2 linked regions of the Tribolium castaneum genome follow. The main gene of each other region encodes a partner of the protein of the gene in region 2 in a complex. Links are inferred from orthologs where the notes say so. Each region holds a gene or a part of one and is shown on either strand. Other genes may lie near its edges.

The links.
Region 1: lilli (region 2) and CycT share a complex: the UniProt entries of both Drosophila melanogaster proteins name them as parts of the super elongation complex. The link is inferred for Tribolium castaneum from reciprocal best matches to the Drosophila melanogaster genes lilli and CycT.

What each region holds. Positions count from the first base shown.
Region 1 is NC_087396.1:19,991,797-20,001,039, forward strand, and holds the start of CycT (cyclin-T), read right to left. Parts: upstream 6,122-9,243; coding exon 5,973-6,121; intron 4,029-5,972; coding exon 3,816-4,028; intron 3,765-3,815; coding exon 3,597-3,764; intron 3,542-3,596; coding exon 3,256-3,541; intron 3,203-3,255; coding exon 3,127-3,202; intron 3,001-3,126; coding exon 2,286-3,000; intron 1,482-2,285; coding exon 152-1,481; 3' UTR 1-151. Other genes in the region: dgt1 (KAT8 regulatory NSL complex subunit 2), read left to right, coding at 6,500-6,534, 6,834-7,336, 7,390-7,561, 7,609-7,772, 7,830-7,966, 8,016-8,138, 8,188-8,331, 9,174-9,243. UniProt on the Drosophila melanogaster protein: Regulatory subunit of the cyclin-dependent kinase pair (CDK9/cyclin T) complex, also called positive transcription elongation factor B (P-TEFb), which is proposed to facilitate the transition from abortive to production elongation by phosphorylating the CTD (carboxy-terminal domain) of the large subunit of RNA polymerase II (RNAP II).
Region 2 is NC_087402.1:5,810,529-5,819,328, reverse strand, and holds the end of lilli (AF4/FMR2 family member lilli), read left to right. Parts: intron 1-680; coding exon 681-758; intron 759-814; coding exon 815-2,953; intron 2,954-4,115; coding exon 4,116-4,328; intron 4,329-4,381; coding exon 4,382-4,450; intron 4,451-4,505; coding exon 4,506-4,605; intron 4,606-5,026; coding exon 5,027-5,351; intron 5,352-5,495; coding exon 5,496-5,605; 3' UTR 5,606-7,013; downstream 7,014-8,800. UniProt on the Drosophila melanogaster protein: Has a role in transcriptional regulation. Acts in parallel with the Ras/MAPK and the PI3K/PKB pathways in the control of cell identity and cellular growth.

The sequences.
Region 1 (9,243 bases), on a different chromosome or scaffold from region 2:
GAAAAATAACAAAAACACGGTACAATCCTAAGTATAAATCGATAAAAAAATTGCACTCTTATAAATTATTTACAAATTTCTCTAAACCCTTCATATATCACGTCATCTTAACTAGCACGAGGTCCGAAATCGTGTCTCTAAATCGCACACATCACTCCGGGGGCGGTGGGGGCGGTATGTCCGGCGGCGCGTCCATCGGCAGGGGCGGGTTGGACCCTGCCGGGGGCGGCAGCGGCGGCGCCTGCTGATACATTTCCGGCGGCGGAAACGCGTATCCCCCATTATAATAATTGTACATCTGATTCTCGGCCGGATACATATACTGACCCACCCCCATATGCGGCGGATAATAGTACATGTTTTGCGTGTACATCGGCGGCGGCACGCTGTGATAGGTGGACGCGGGGGCGGCGGGGGGCGGAACGACCGCCCCCATCGCACTACTCTTACTATATTCGCTTACCTTATTATACGAATGTCTCCCGTTCTGTTTGGAGTCCTTGCTGCGGGAGAGCTTTGCAGGGGGGCCGCCGTCGGCCGGACTACTGCGATCCCGCTCCCGTTTCCGGCTTTTCTCGCTTTCCGGATTGCAGTTATTGATGATTTCGCGCGGGATCTTGATTTTGAGACCGATTGGTGGCGGCGCCGGCGCTGGATTCTCCTCAGTCTTTATCACGTCTTTCGGGATTTTTATCTTGATAGGGTTCGGCATTTGCTGGATCTTGTCTTTCTGGATCTTGATTTTGATTGGTTCGGCCGCCGGCTCGGCCACCTTCTCTTTGTGCTTGTGCTTCTCCCTGTCTTTATCTTTGTGTTTCTTCTTCTTCTCTTTCTCGTCTTTGCTCTTGTCCTTGTCTTTATGCTTGTGTTTCTCCTTGTTTTTCTTTTTACTCTTGTGGTGATGTTCTTTGACTTCGGCGGGTGGTTCGGTTTTCGGGGCTGTATTCGCGACCACTGGCAGATGAGGTACTGATGGTGCTTCTTTTAGTAAACTACTGATGAGCATCGGGTTTGTTTCGATGCCGTTAACGATCGGTTGAGAGGTCGATATGTTGTTATCAGAACACAAAGGTGGAATAATATCGGGGGGTTTCATTTCTTTGGAAAAACTAATCGGGGGTTCTTCACGTTTCACGTCCGTTATCGGAGTTATGATATCGGGAATTTGGTGAAGTTTATTGATTCCAATGGTGGAATCCCTCATCAAATTCTCAAAACCTTCAACTTGGTCTATTTTCTTTAAAACCGGCCGCAATTCCGGCTCAGAGCTAGTCGAATAATTCCTCGCTCTTTTACTAACATTTGTTGGTGATTCAAGAGGCGAAAGCATCGGTTCCGACTTTACTGGCAGAGGACTCGGCGATTTTTTCTCCGATTTGATTGGACTTTTTTCAGGCGAGAAAAGACTAGGTTTCTTGACGGGATTCAATTCCTCTTTCACCTTCTCTTCTTCCTTGACCACCTCCTCCTTAACGGGGACGCTAAAGGGTAGTAATAAGCGTTCAGTTATCAATTCGATTTAGTTTAATATAAAATGATAAATGGTCATCATTTTTGCACAGTAAAGTGAATAAAACACAAAAAGCAAGAAAATAACATCCCTAGATGACCGTAATCAAGCAAAAATTTGGGCCCAAAAAACAACAAAATGGAGAAATGAAGTAATCTGCATATTATTTTAGTAAGATCATATTTCAAAAATAGAGGAGATGGTATAACAATATTATCTTTTCAACGCCAGCCACTTTATTTACGTAATCCTTGCACAAAACAACATTGCACTATCGTTTGATTGAGAATGCCATTACAATTTTAATAAATTGTAGAAAACTTCTGAAAAAAGTCACATTCCTAGATAAAAAATATAGTATTATTTAAAGATAAACGCTGGTTTTTGTAAAATTTATTAATACATATTTGAGATACGATTGTACAATCACCATGTTTATTAACTTTGTTTCAAAATTTAAAAAAAAACAAATATTTTTTTGAAGATTGTATTTAAATTAAAATGAAATTAAACAAAAAATAAATGTAATTTTCTACTTAAAAAACAGACTGAAAATTGGCGGTTTTAATAAAAAAAAATGTATGTATAGAAACCCTTTCTGTATTTTGAGTGTTATAAAATTTTCTACAGTTCCAATAAAAAAAAATTGAAAATATATTGATACTTTGAAACTAAAATCTTTATGTATTTTGAATCTTTTTTTTTAACTTTTGTAAACTTCTATTACTTCTCTGTACATCCACTGTTTCAACTGATCAAAAATTCAATACCATACCTGACGCTGAAACTGCTGCTCCCGTTGTGGTGGTGCTGTTTGACCGGCGGCGGCTGCAACGGCTGCCCCACCCCCGGTTTGAGGACGGATTTCGATGTGTCTAAAGGCGATTTGACTTTTTGCGAGGTAGAGTTCATCGATTTACTTAAATAACCACTATTCCTATCATGTCCCGGCACACTATGCGGTCTTTTCACTTCACTTTCCGGCTTAACAAACGGCTTTTCGTCGTGCCTTCGAACCTGTTCATGTTTAACTGGAACTTTATTCGGAGGCGGCCGATTCTTATCACCGTTATAATAATTGTTCGTTTCCGCCGCCGCCGCCGCCGCCACATTCGGTTTTAGTAAATAATCGCGCGTTTTCGGAACGTCTTTTTCATTTTTGTTAAAGTCTTTGGTTGCTATCCCGAACGGGGAGTCCCTGGCGGCCTCTCGGAGGATGTCTCGGGGCTCGGTCCGGGCTGGGGGCGGGTGCGACGAAGACGGCCTCGAGTGCGGCTGCTTCAGCTTCGGGTCCACGGGGGGACGGTGGTGGCCGTGGGGCACCGCCGGCTTGGCGGCCCCCGGGGGCGGCGCTTTCATGCCGTGCTGTTGCTGGGCCAGTTTTTCCCGTTCTTTCTTCTCGCGATATTCGCGCTCGCGCTGCTGCTGGCTGGTGGTTGCCGACTCGTGAGGTCTGGAAGATCGGTGCTTGTGGGGGTCCGGTTCTGAACCTTTAAGAAAAAATTCACGTTGAAACGATCTTAAAACATGTGTTTAGGAACACAAATAACACTTATTTTTTTGTTCGTGAACATAATTTTAATTTAAAAAAATGAAAATTGGTTGTAATTTCTTACCTGTCTTACTCTCGTGTGTGCGATGCGGATGTTGGTCTTTCTGGTCCGAACTGACGATCTTTTTCGGATCAGTGTCCTGCAATAGGTCGGGTGCAATCAAAAGAACTCCGACCACAGGAAAATACTTACGAAAGGTGAATTGGTGATAGCGGCTGTGCAATTATGCATTCCGTTATCACCGATACTCATAATTTTCTCTTTGAGTCGTGACGGACAACTTTCAAAGATACTCAGAAACTCGGTGGTGAGTTGTTGGAGTAGTTCGGCGGTGACCGTTGGATCCACGTACAGAAACCACTCTTTCTTTTCGGTGGACAACGGTATTTCCCAACTCGACCATTTACACGCTAAATGTATGCAAAAGCAAGCTACTACAGTCGGTTTGTATTGGAGGCACATTGTGGTAAGATGCAAGCTAGAAAATTGCCAAAAATCATAATGGTGGGATCGATTTTTCGAAAAATCCCCACCTGTTGCTGGCCAAGAAATACGAACTCTGTGCTAAGTCCTTACTGGCACGAACGAGATGACAACATCTTACGACGTGGGTGTGTGGATGGTCGATTGCGACATCGAAACCCAACGTTTGGAGTAAGACTGTTTCGTTAAATACCAAGTCCTGAGACAGAGTTTGATACCTAAAAGTGGCAATTAATCAGAATTGTTTTTTGATTTGGGAAAAGTACTACCTTTCCGAATTTACATCGATATTTGTATCTCGGTTATTTCTGCACATGTTGGCAACTCTAATAACGTATTCTAATTTTCTAGGTTGTTCTTCTACTTTGGCGGCTAGAAACAATGCCGCCGCCGCCATCTGGTGCCAGGGGAATTGTGTGAAGGAGTGGAATACATAGAACCGATGCATGTACACGATGGCGGTGTTGATACATAATTGAGAACTGCTTTGGGTTAAGGAAATGGTCCAGAATAAATAATTCAAGGTTTTTGAATTCAATTAGAATAATGTAATTTAATGTTCAATAAATTCTACTCCATTTGTTCTCTTTTAAACGAAGCAGAGTGTACAGTGAATTTTCCCGAATGCCAAGTGATTATTATCAAAGGTTCAACTGAAACAGTATTGTATTTTTTTGTATGCATTTTTATTGGCAATTTTTTGTGTAAGTGAGAGGTTACTAGTGCTTTTGGCCTTTGGTTAAAATCATACCACGTAATTAACATTTTCGAAAATTAATAGGATACGAAATATCTACAGGAACTGAAAATCAAGAAATATTGGGAGAATTGTACACGTGAAGTAGGTAACTAATTATAGGTAAGTTATTTCTGTTTCTTAGTCCAAGCAATTGGATCACAGAGAAATTGCTAATAAAAATGCTAATAATACGCTCAAAAACAGCTAAAAGGCCACTTTGAGATTTGTAAGTCCGATTTTTTCAAGATTCCCACAATAAAAATTTAAACAGGTTTAAAATTCGCAATACTTTGCAAAAAATATAAACCCATATAAGACCAAATTAAGCTTTTTGGTGTTGAACAGTTGATCAATGCTTATCTCAAACCCCGTATTGCCAATCATTCCATAGTTAAACAATGAAATTTAGAAAAAATCCATGACGCAAAAATGTTTATATTCATCATCTGATAAAATAATTATCCGCGTAGCTTATCAGATAATTTCCCTGTATCGTTAAATCCTATTTCCAATTATTCGTACACTCAAATTCAAAATAAAACACTTAAATTCTTTATTACTTATTTATTTCCCTTGCCCCAAAACCAAAAATAATAAGTAGACTTTGGTAACTAAAATTTCCCCCAAAAATTATTTTTCTTTATAAATTTTCACGACCTTAGGCTCGTTTTTAAATATGTCCGAGCACGTAGCTAATTCTTAAAATAACCGCGGCTATTATTACGTACACCATTAAGTTTAGTGCATCATAAAAATTCGAAGTAAATAAATATTTACTTTATAATCATGTAGTGCTTATCAATAGCACAAATGTAATTTAAATTTGTAGCCACATTACTCGTCGACCCAGTTCGTTTCAGTAGACATTCAGGCAATGTCAGCAGTGGTCGGTTTTATTTTGATTAATCATAGTGTAAGGTTTATGTGGTAATATGAAAGAATTTGTGCGATTGTGTAATAAAAAACACTGATGTTGATTTTATTTTAAGTTAAATTTCTGACTTAGAAATAGAAAAAAACGTTCAAACGTCCACTGACATGAAATGCTCTAAAATTTTTAAAAAGTAAATAAAAATCAATTTATTATTAAAAATCCATAAGAGCATAAGATAGTGCGTTTGTATGAACATAATAAAAAAAACTTAACACAACCATACTCAAAACAAGTTGAAACAAAAAGGAAAAGTTTCAAGATCAAATCAATTGAAAATAAAGTTGCAAGAAATATAAACATCTTTTAATAAGAAATTGATTTTATTTTTTACTCTTGTGAAAGATTACAATTATTTTACATCATACAAATCGCAAATGAAATTGTTGCATAAGAATGACAAAACTACTACAAAAATTGAAAAATTGCTTCAAAGAGAAAATAAAAAAATGAATAAAACCGCTGACCTACAACAAACGTAGAGAAGAGTTAAATAATAAATTTTCTGGAAAAGAATACGTTGAAATAATCCTGAAAAGCATAAAAATAACGGTGCGTTTAACACACGTGTCGTGTGAACGCCGCTTTATCGCATTTGCATGAAACGTCAAATATGCGCAGTAGAGGGGGCTATCTACGTCACTTACGAAACATGGCGCAATAGCTCCACAATGACCTAAAACAAGGGTCGTGGGGCGCCAGGGGGCTGAAATTCGCGCTATCTACGTGTTAAATGCAAGCATGCGGCAAGGATACACTTTGAGCCTCTGTCCCATGTCCTGGATGAAATTGGCAGTCTGCTGCCTGTAGGACAGCTCCTTGTAGCTATCATATCCGCATTTCCTCGAGGGCGTAGCGTCCAATTGCTCTTTCGTGAAGTACCATCTATCGCTGTTATTAGCCATTTACTGCACTCGACACGACTCGCGATAACAGCAAGGCAAGTGTCGCTACGGCTCGAAATCAGGCTATTCCAGGTCATTTGCTGGTCTTATTGGGGCAAATGGGGGCGCATTGTCGCGAAATTTAGTCACATTAACTACACTTTTGTCCAGAAAATCGGCTTCAAGGGTTTCCGTTGCGTCACTACGATGTGGGTTTTCCTAGAAGTGGCACTGGTGCAAATCGGGTCGGCTTTTCACGGGCAAATCTCCGGTTGCAAGTCTCGAATTGATCACGAATTATTACTTAAAGTTTACTAAACGCTTTTGGAAAGTTTTTCGCGCGAAAGAGGTAGTTCTTTAACAAATTAAAATATACATACACAAAGTTGTTGGAATTTGATGTTATTTCACTCAGAGATGGCCGACCAACCGCGGTAAGCAAGCCCACGACTTCCACAAAACAAACACCAAAACCACCCACACACTCGAAAACCGCAACACTCCCGAAAAAACGCAAATTATCCCTAAACTAATCCCTGAAATTATCACAGAAATCCACTAAGGCCCTTAGATCCACAAACGCACAACAAGCATGGCTTTGAGTAAAGATGTCGGCTGTCGATTTCCGCTCGGCTGCTCATTGGCTGCCACCGTTCGAAATATACCGCCAAACAAACATAACCTTGTCAATAACAAAGCCAGACGCGCAAAACTAAACTTTCACTATTTTCAGGATGCAGTTTCCGGAAAAACAACTCAAAACCAACCATGCCCCTTCAACGACTGCAGAAAAAGACGTCGCCGCCCTCAAAGCCGAGCTAGAAATCGAGCTCAAGAACAAAAAGCAATGCACATACAAACCGTACGAATGCACCCAACTCACCCTCGACGGGTTCAATTACTGCCTCAAACACATCCTCCAAGACAAGGCAGCCCCCTACAGACAGTGCTCGTACATTTACGCCAGTAACGGGAAACGCTGCCAGCTGGCAGCCCCCAAAATCGAAAAGAAAGACTGCGGCTACTGTAACGATCACGCAGTTAAAGTCACACTTGAGAAAAACAGGCAGAACTCGAGGCTTCAGCCGCCACAAACCGCAGAAGTCCTGATATATTCGTTGGGACATTACTTGAAGAAGCCCAGAAATCGGGCAACTTCTGGTAGTGGAGAGGAGGCAGAGAGGGCCCTTCTGGAGGAGGCTGAAGCCAAGAGCACCAAGTGCTTGGACCCGTTCCGTAAGCCACCCTTTTTTTCAAATTAATTTTCCAAATACAAATTAATGTGTTAGGTGATATTGACGCCAATGCCTTGTATAACTCCACTTGTAACAACGTTTTGGACTTCTGTAGTGAGTCTGATAGCGATGTTGAGGCTTCAACGTTCGCGTCAGTGTGGCATGATGCACAGAATGACAGTTCCGATAACGAAAGTGTTGATTCAGACCAGGAGGACGTTTTAAAGTGAGGTGGCAATTTTTTATTTTTGAGACTAATTTTTGTATTTGAAGGCACGCGAATGTGTACACAGCTGAAGAAATCAGTTCAATTACGAGAGAAAAGTTAATCAAGCTTCAGTCGTTATACATTGAGCAATATCGTCATTTGCAGCATGTCTTTAAGGAATGCAAAAGAAAATATGTTTATAATTTAAGGAGGGAAAAGGAAACTTGCTGTGAGATTACATCACAATAATTACGTCCAGTTCATTTGAATTCGTTTCGTTTTTTAGGCAATATTTATAACCAGATCCGTGAAAATCCCAAAGAACAGCGGCTTTACAAAAAACTCAAAGCGCTAAATAAGTACCACAAACCGCACGGAGTTGAAGCGATACTTCATAAAAGAGAGCATGATTCACGCGCTAAGGTTCATATTCGAATTATTTACATTTTTTTTTTATTAAAAATAAAATTAGATTACAGATGGCATGTTCTCCAAAGCGCCAGGTTACTCGCGGTGTTTGTTTACAGAAGGTGGGGTCAAGTGTGGGGAGAGAACTCTGCCTCTGGCTAGACATTGCAGGAAACATATTTTAGAAGTAATTTATTTTATTACTGTAATGTTTCATTTAAGTGTTGAAATTGTAGGATCAAAATCAAGTATTATTCAGGCCGTGCGGTAAGAAGAGAGCGGATGTAGAATGTAAAACACCAGTTGAGGCGATTTTTGAGGACAGTTGCTGCAACTTGCATATGGACATACCTCCAATTAAATCATATGCGCAATTAAGGGTACGGTGTTATTAAAAACAAAAAAATACGTAACTATTTTGCCACTATTTATGACTAATTGTTTCTAAACAGCTTAAAAGGAGCTAAAATTATTTATTTTTTATCACCACCACTGAAAATGTAATTTTAGTTAAAAATTACAAAATTGATAAATATTTTCTATTGAAAAAAATGCTTCATAGCAGAATTCGTCCCATGTTTGCTATTTCTGAAGATTAAATGTTTCTTAATCACGTGGTTAATTTTATGAAGGAAAAAACCGGTGTTTGGTTTCTTATTCTTTTAAGTTATGAACTATTTAGTAAATTTGTTTGATTAATAAAGATTTATTTTTTAATAATAGATGGCTGGCATATCATTAAAATAGTATTAGGTATTCGTTAAAATTATACAGGCGGTGCTAATGTGAAATACATAATAACTAATAAGAAATAAAAATACTTCTCTTACTTAAACTTTCAATGGAGTGTTATTAATTTGATGCATAACACATTTATGACGAAATACTTATTTTTATGAAAATTGAATAAATGAAAAAAGGAGAATTAAAAAATAAAACAAGCAACACTGATTAAACTTGATGGGAAAAAAACAAAGAACATAACAAAATGGTAACAAAGGCATGTTTATGACAAAAAAATATAAAATATACTGAATTAATGACACAAGTTATTTCAGAAATATTTAAAACAGAATCAGAAAAAAATTAAAAAATCTTTGAAAGAATTTAGGACTTGAAATTCATTAAAATAGTGGGTACTTTATGCCAAAAAAACTGGCTAGAAACCAAAAATAGCCAATTTCGGCAGATTATAATTTTTAATATTTTTTTTTTTATTTAGAAAAATTCTGAATCCGACTTTGAGGATTCCTTTGAATCTCCCGAAAACATGTTGATGGAAGCGGTGTCAG
Region 2 (8,800 bases):
AATTGCCTCCGTCCGACTAACCGATCAGCAGCGACTCATTAGTAGCAACTTGTCTGGTAGCTTCGCGTGCTCAAGATGCCACTTAGCTCAGACTCTTCGATTATAAGCTATGAAGGAAAATGGTAGCTTGTGATCGGCCATTGTCTTGCTACCGACGATAAATTCATAGATTTATCGTCGGGAAGTCGACAAACACAGATTCCTGCTCGATTGTGTGGACACGAGACGACGGGATCTTCGCCCGTTTCGCTCCCAACGGCGAAATTTTGAAAATGCGCCGCCCGTCAGACGAATCACTAATTTAAAGTTATTACTCAAAATTAGAAACTAGCAGGGTAATAGGGACAATTGGTTATTAAAAGTGCAGGTTGGACTATCGATCGGTTTATCGGTCGCGATGAGCGTAATATTTTAACGTCGTATACGTGATATTCAACATGGCGTCGTTGAAACCGACAATTTTTACCGCATCGCGTGCAATATGTGGGTGGCCGGAACGAACGAATGTGAAGAGATAAGAAACCGTAAAAATACACCGGCAGATAACGTCGTCATCGACTTTAAACACTCAATTCAAACGATTCCATCGTTCGAATTAATTCTTTCGGAATGAGTCCCGAGTTTTGCATCCTTGACATTTGGCTTAGCGCACAGGTGTTGATTGGGTATTGTTGTTGCAGTGACTTACGAGATGATCTAAATCTGTCAGATGACAGCGATGACGATCAAAAGCAATCTTCCAAGTTACCAGTAGAAAAGTAAGTGTTTGAGGTCATAGTCGAGTGTTGTAGTAACATAAGTGTGTTTCGAGCAGGATGGTTTCTCCGCTGGGTGCGACTCCGGCCGTTGGTAGTTTCTCCAAGATGGAGTATCCGCCGGAACCGGCAGATCCGGCTGGGTCTTCGTCGAGCGATTCGGGCTCGGATTCGGGATCAGAGAGCGACTCGAGCAGCGACGATTCGGCCGAAGACAACGTGACTTCGTCGAATCCGAGCAAATCAAACGTAGTACCTGCCGAAACGGGACCGTCTTCGCCGCCTCCGCCCGAAGAAAAAGACAAGAAGCGATGGAACCTTGGTTCGTATTTGGTCATCGACCAGAACAACGCCAAAGCGGACTCCGTTCTCTCACCGAAAGTACAAACGTCGCCGCTCACCTCCAGCATGCTCCCTTTGGCCGTCGACAAGAAAAAAGTTACCGAAGAGTCGGACGCCAGTGATTCGACGAAAGATCTAGACAGTGTGGTTGCCGAGGCACTGGCCTCGGCAACGGTGCCCCTCTTGTCGAGTTTCTCCGATTCGGACGATAGTGTGACGGAAAGACGCACGAAAAGACGCAAACATACCATAATACAATCAGTTACCAAAAATTCGGAAAGTGACAGTGACGATGCCGAACGGACGAAAAAACCGAAACCGGTGCGACGTGCCAGTCCTCGGACTAAATCAGTGGATTCGTGTAGTGATTCGGACAATAACAGTGCCAATATTATCAAAAAACGTCTATCACCTTTGCCTCATAAATCGCCCGAACAGTTAGTCAAACCCAAACAGAGTCGCGGACGTCCCAGAAAAATCAAACCGGCTGTGAGTGGATCCGACAAGAAACCGCGAAAAAGGGGACGACCACCAAAACCCCGACCCTCACACCCGAGCAGTTCCGACGAAGAAGACAACGTGGACAAAAGGCCGGTCCGACGGAGAACAATCTCGAAACGTGACGCTTCGAGCAGCTCCGACTCAGACTCACGGTACCGAAAGTACGAATCACCAAAGAAAATCCCAAAACCATTCGAGGACAAAATCAAAAGGCCCGCCATCAAAAACGACTCGGACGACGATTGGGGCAAGAAGAACAAGAACAAACTGAAACCAAGACAGAGGAGCGAGTCGGAAAGCTCCAAGAAGAACGACTCCCCCAAGAAGGAGGTCTTCCGGCGGAAAGGAAGAACGTCAAACCCACATCACAAAAGCGCCGCAACTCTTCCCACAACGACCGATTCGAGCGACAGCGATTCGGGCCCTTCCAAGCGCTTACAACGAAGTCTGAGTTCAAGGAGTCGCAGCCGGTCCTCGGACAGCGACACGAACATTCTAGCCAAATCCCCGGTGAATAAAGTCGAGGAGACGAAACCGATCAAAGACAAAAACAAGAGCGACACTCTACGCAAGCTGTTCACTCCGAAGCGCGACTCCGAGGGCGGCAAAGGGGGCGGCAAAGGCGGCGGCAAGGGCGGGAAAGGCGGCAAGGGCAAGGGGGGCGTCAATGTGATATTCGCCGACGGCGGAAACGAACGCTGCGTTTCGCCCGTCGAAGACGAAACAATGCCGACCATATCAAACCCAACTCTCCTATCACCAATCCCCCACAAGGAGGCCAAACCTCCACTAGCATCCCCTTGCGCCGAACCAATCAAATTCATTAAGACTGAGCCTCTCGATGACGAGAAAATCTCGATGAAAGTCAAAATCGGTCTGAATCGCATCGACTTGAACGCTGTGATTTGCCTCAAAAACAAGCTCGAAGCGCTGAAACATCCCTACTTCCGGGAGTTTGAGAAGAAGAAGCTGAGCGATAATGATAACGAAAGTAAGAAGAAGGATTCGGATTTGGCCGAATTGAAGCACAAGTCGAAGAAGCGAAAGCGGCGGAACAGTTCGAGCTCGATTTCGTCGCTGTCGACGGTCAGCAACTTGTCGCACAGTAGCAAGAAACTGGAGCATCGCAAAGATCGGGAGAATCACAAGATGAAACGGCGAAAAGACGACGAAATCTATCCCAGATCACAAAGTGATAATATCAGTCTGACGAATGCACCACCGACCAATCACGAGCGGGAAGGTAGCAGAAGTCGGCAGGTGATCTCGCCCGTCGACAAAAACAAGTCGCAAAGTACCAGGGAGTATCATTCGTACTTTGAGAAGCCCGACGAGCCCCTAGAGTGCGAAGAGAGGTAAGGAAAAAATGCACGAATTTGGGCGGTTCAGTCGATCAACGATTAAAATTCCGCGATGCTCGAATTTAGGTCAACTTGGCCTCCGAGGAATATATCTGATTCAATATTTTCCGGTGAGCGCTGGCAGTATTCAGCTGTCGTAAAGAACGTATCGAGAGGAAAAAATGACGTCTTATTCTGTCCTGAAATGATCTTTATCGTTTTCTATTTCTATATTTGGTTTATTTGCCGTATCTAATTTACGACAGGGTGAGGTGACAATGTAATTCGCCATCGAAAAAAGATTTATTTAAATTGTGCGGAATGGAGATTGTGCAAATGACATAAATAAGGTTCGTTCCTACCACAGCACAAAAAATCGAAGCAGAGTCGCCGATTAGAAATTGAAGTGATTTCACATTTAATGACTAAAAGGCGCAATTAGCAATTAATAAATTTGCGGCCGGTTTTTATTTAAGAAGATCGTAAATATCCTGTCATAATCATTCATATTAATTAAAATGATTGTCATTTATTGCATAATTGAAACTCTTTTTACAACTTGATCAAGTTTTATTATTGTCGGTTTTTAAGGGCTAAAAAGGCATCAAATCAACTATCATAGTTGCTAAAAATATTACACCAATAAAAATTCAAAACTACGAGGATATTTTTCACGATAAAACGGTTATCAGTGCGAAATTTATTGAAACACTTCACATTTCGTGAAAAATGTGATACTACCAAAATTTAATTTTTAGAAAGTGGTACAAAAAACTTTCCATAACAAAGGGACAAAATCATTTTGTCGTATTAGAATTAGAATAGAATATTAAGCTACAGAAAGCTATTACATTCTAGCACGACTTCGAAAGTGCTACGACAGGTAAGGAAATGGATTTTGTTTAGTTTTTATTATTCGATTTATTTGTTGAGACTACATTTACATATAGGAAAAATATTGAGTTTCCAGAACGGAGATATATCGCCTAGACTGTTAGATAATGTGTAATAAAATGAATATAATCGCACTTCGTAATAGCGTCTTTCGCTAATTTTTTAACTGTGATAGGCTTGATTGTGTAATGATCGACTGGGCCGTTGGTTAGTTTAGTTTAGTTTGCGTTGTAGTTTTTGTGGCTTTTTTCTGTGAAACCTATTAATGTTTGTCGTATATCAGTTCGTATGTGATTTGCAGAGCTCAAAGTCAGTACCTGAGCGATGCGACTCGTTTGAAGCACTTAGCTGATAAAGAGACTGATACAACAAAACAGTGTATGCTGTACCTGGAGGCTGTACTTTTCTTCTTACTAACGGGCAACGCCATGGAACTCACAAGGGTTACAGAAAACGCCTGTTTCACAATGTATAAAGACACATTATCGTTAATAAGGTAACTACGTTAATAATTTAACGAGAAAGCGGTGACTCATGTAACCATTTTAGGTACATCACTTCGAAATTTCGAAGTCAACATAACGCGTCTTCGAAGCACAACAAGCTCGCTGTGTTAAGGTAATTTCAAATAAACACACCTACCAATTACGGTATTGACTGACGATTTTTGCAGTTATCGGTGCCAAGCGCTTCTTTATTATAAACTATTCAAGATGAAGAAGCACGAAGCGAAGGACTACCAGAAGGTCCTCAGCGAATATTTCAACAACAAGGTCAGTAATTAACAATCTTGCGGAAACAAAACGCCAATTAAAAACGAAAATTGAATCAAAACTCCACAGAATAGGCACGTTTATTTTAGCCAAAAAGACCTCCAAAGCCCCAAATAAAACATTTAAAAATCGGCACCAAACGTGCCCTCTCTTTTCAATAGAGGTGGGAAAGTAATTGACAATTACGCAATTTAAACAATAAAAAAACAATCTTATGACCACATTTAAAGATTATATTGAATCGTCGCATGTGCCGGTGTTTTTGGAGCAAAAACGCAAAGAAAATAAATTTAAATGTTCCAAATCTTCGACGTTACGTGCCCATCTCTAATCGAAATTTGACATTTGGCTGTCATTGAATTTTCCGCAACGAAAATGATGCAAAAGGGGGAAAAATGAATGGGTGGGAATGTGGTTTCAGGCCGTTGCGATCCCCCCAGAGCAGCAGACCCAGCAAGGCCAGGGTACACCGTCGCCCATGTCACCGACGCCGTCTCCTGCCGGTTCTGTGGGTTCGGTGGGCAGCCAGTCGTCCGGCTATAGCAGTGGTGAGTTGGCGGCGAGGGGCAGCAACGTGCCGCCACCTGTTCCATCAACGCACGCACAAAGTGGGGGCGCTCACGTGTGGATTCCTCAAAATATTTACAACGCCATGTACAAGCAGAACCAGAATTTCACATATCTTCTGTCTTGTCAGGATCTGTGGGATACGGCCGATGCGCTCGTCATCAAGGGCAAACACACAGGTGGGTGGCTCGGGGAGTTGGGGGCAGTGTCGGATTGTTGAGGCAAGGGGGCCCGGATTATGTTGGTGGTTTATGTGGGCCCTGCAAACAATAATCCGACCCTGGCTGGGTGAAGGTGGGGTACATGTTGTGTTGTCGTTCCAGATTTCTTTATCGACTTGGATAGGCTGTGCAAGCCTCTGACGATGCACAGCTCGCTGATAGACCTGGTGAGGTACATTCGCGAAGGGATAAAAAGGTTGAATGAGAGTTAGAATTGACCAATGACGTTTGTAAATAAGATAAATGTATGCCAAAGAAGCACTGAGTCAATTTCAATGTCAATGGAACCAGCTTGTTACTTGGACAGAATATACACTTTTTACATTTTACCTACAGATTATATTAGAGTAGAGTTGACTTATTTAATCATTTACTTAGGGCATATTTGCCGGTTAGATTGGTTTAATGTTGACTAGAACAATTGAGTGATCCTACATATTATATGACTTTTGATGTCGTTTCTAGTTAACTGACTTAGGGTGCAGTACTATAATAATATTTTTACAATGATAGGAAATTCCACGTACATAGTGTATATTTTTTTGTAAATACTGTATGCTAAAGTTATATATTTACTACATCTGCTATATTTGTACAACGCTAATCTAGAGGCCTAGTGAATCAAACTTTGCATCTCACGTGGTTGTGGATGTTAAATTAATAAATATTAGTCATTGTTATTTTTGCATATATATTGTAGGCTAAGTGTGCATATGTAACATGTATGTAAATCTTGTATCATATTTTATAAATTTTAAATTATTTTATTTGTATCGTAAGTATTTTCATTAAGGCCATTTACAAAACAAAATCAAATTGATATGTATAATTTTGTACCTATAATTGTTGTTGCATTATTTATCAATGCTGGCAGAAAATCTTAAAGCTTAGTTTTCTTCCAGAGTGATCGACGTATTAGCACTCATCACTAAGTAAAGTTTCACTATGACGTGACTTTTTTTCCTCAAACTCCTACTCATCCAGTTTTATCAAAGCTGAAGGTTGATCTCAAAACTTTAACACGTTTTACGATACTGAATTGTAGTGAAAATTTACTTAAATGTGCAGAACAAAGTTTGGTTACAAACTTGAAACTCCCTTTGCACATTGTTGATTTATGTGGTGCTATATTTATTGCAATCTTTTCTGATGATCTCTCGAATCAAAGGTCGAAATTTGAAACAAAACGCGGAGATTTATTCAATCAGATGTCCTTGGCGGCAGGTTATGCAGAAAAGGTTGTTTCTTTTTTAATTATTTATCTTCTCTTAATTGTTTTGCCGTATCATTATGGTCAGAAATGGTAAATTTGGCTGTTTGGGACCAATGGAAGAAAAATCTCTGAATGTGTATACGATTGGCATAGATCACAATTTTTGATATTAATTCGTAAATCTCAATTTTTGCCTTCCATTCAGTTGATTTTTTGTTTTTTATTTGCGTTTAAATGTTGCTGTTTTAGTGAAATTGGTTTTTATGTAAATTAGTTATTTATTCTTTTAACGAAATTTGGCCTCTGCATTTTGACCATGTTATCACAATCTGGACATATCGACTGACAGAATGATTGTTTTTTTCTCTTTTTTTTTGTTTGAAATATATTAATTTATTTTATATTTATTTTCGTTTTTTATTGTTTCATGTAACCAAACTTGGTCTGTTACAGTTGCAATAGAAATATGAACTCATAGAACTCCAAAGTAAACTTAAAGTGACCTTGTCTAGATCATAAATAAAATGAATACATCAGTACCTTGTACATATTTATACATAAAAATTTAACATCAGTTATACTTTTGAGGTGATGTGTAACAAAAGGACCCAACTTTTTTTTCAAATATATTATTACAGCATACAAATTTCTTCCGTACAAACCTAACTGTCCGTAATTATCCCATTGCACTGAAAATGATTTAAATATAACATTTATTATTACTCTATTTACAAAACAAAAAAAAATACAAAATCTTTAATCACAATTCTCATTTTGTTGCCGTGAGGCCGCTTCCTCCCCCTTGCACGTGCCCTGCGCCTCCGCGGTGGCCTTCTTCTTCCACTTCCCTCCACCATAGGGCGCATGCCTCCTCTTCAAGTTGGAGGTTCCGTCCTCCTCCACCTCAAACTCCATATTGAGGTCATCTCTGATAATTTTCAAGAGTGTTGTTCTGGGCAATCCCAACAACTTCGACCTTTCCCTCAGCGATAAATCCGGAGCCTCTTTCAAGGACGCTCTCACGTACGGCACGTGCATAAGCCTTGACAGTGGTCTTCCACATTTTTCCCGATCCTCAACGTTTCCCACACTGAATAATTTCCTCTCCCAGCTCAAGAACGTCGTCCTGTTGGGAGGTGCAGTGTTGAATCTCGCCAAGAAATTGGAGTTAATATCTTTCCATGTTTGGTTATTGTACTCCTTCTCGTGGACCCAAACTGCAGCTACGATCTTCTGCTCGTGAGTGTATCTCGACGAATCGGACGTTTCGGCTTCATCATCACTCATTTTAGGGACAGAGGGTCCGCGATGACATTATTTCAGAACAGCTGTAGATACTACGTTCCAAGTTTATGGATTTTGGTGCGTAGGGGAAATGACGAGACAGAAAATACAGAAGACGCGAAATGCGAAAGACGTGAATTCAGGAAAATAAACATTTACTAAAATTGTGTACGATTATTTATTAAACACCCGCAAACATTTTTTGTCCCCACAAGCTAATTTTTGTGCCATTTTTTGCTCCCCCATATATTTTTTGTGCCATTTTTTGCTCCCCCAGATATTTTTTGTGCCATTTTTTGCTCCCTCGGAAATTTTTTGTGCCATTTTTTGCTCCCCCAAATATTTTTTATGCCATTTTTTGCTCCCTCGGTAATTTTTTGTGCCATTTTTTGCTCCCTTGGAAATTTTTTGTGCCATTTTTTGCTCCCCCAGATATTTTTTGTGCCATTTTTTTGCTCCCCCAAATATTTCTTGTGCCATTTTTTGCTCCCTCGAATTTTTTTTGTGCCATTTTTTGCTCCCTCGGAAATTTTTTGTGCCATTTTTTGCTCCCTCGGAAATTTTTTGTGCCATTTTTTGCTCCCCCAAATATTTTTTATGCCATTTTTTGCTCCCTCGGAAATTTTTTGTGCCATTTTTTGCTCCCTTGGAAATTTTTTGTGCCATTTTTTGCTCCCTTAGATATTTTTTGTGCCATTTTTTGCTCCTTCAGATATTTTTTGTGCGATTTTTTGCTCCCGCATGCTATTTTTTGTGCTATTTTTTGCTCCCGCAAGTTATTTTTTGTGCCTTTTTTTGTGACCTAAATATTTCCACAAAAAATTCAACAAAAAATAATTCGTAAATTTTAAACTTTTGAAATTTTATGTAAATTTTCTCTAATTTTGTTTCAAAAAAAATTTTTTTTGTA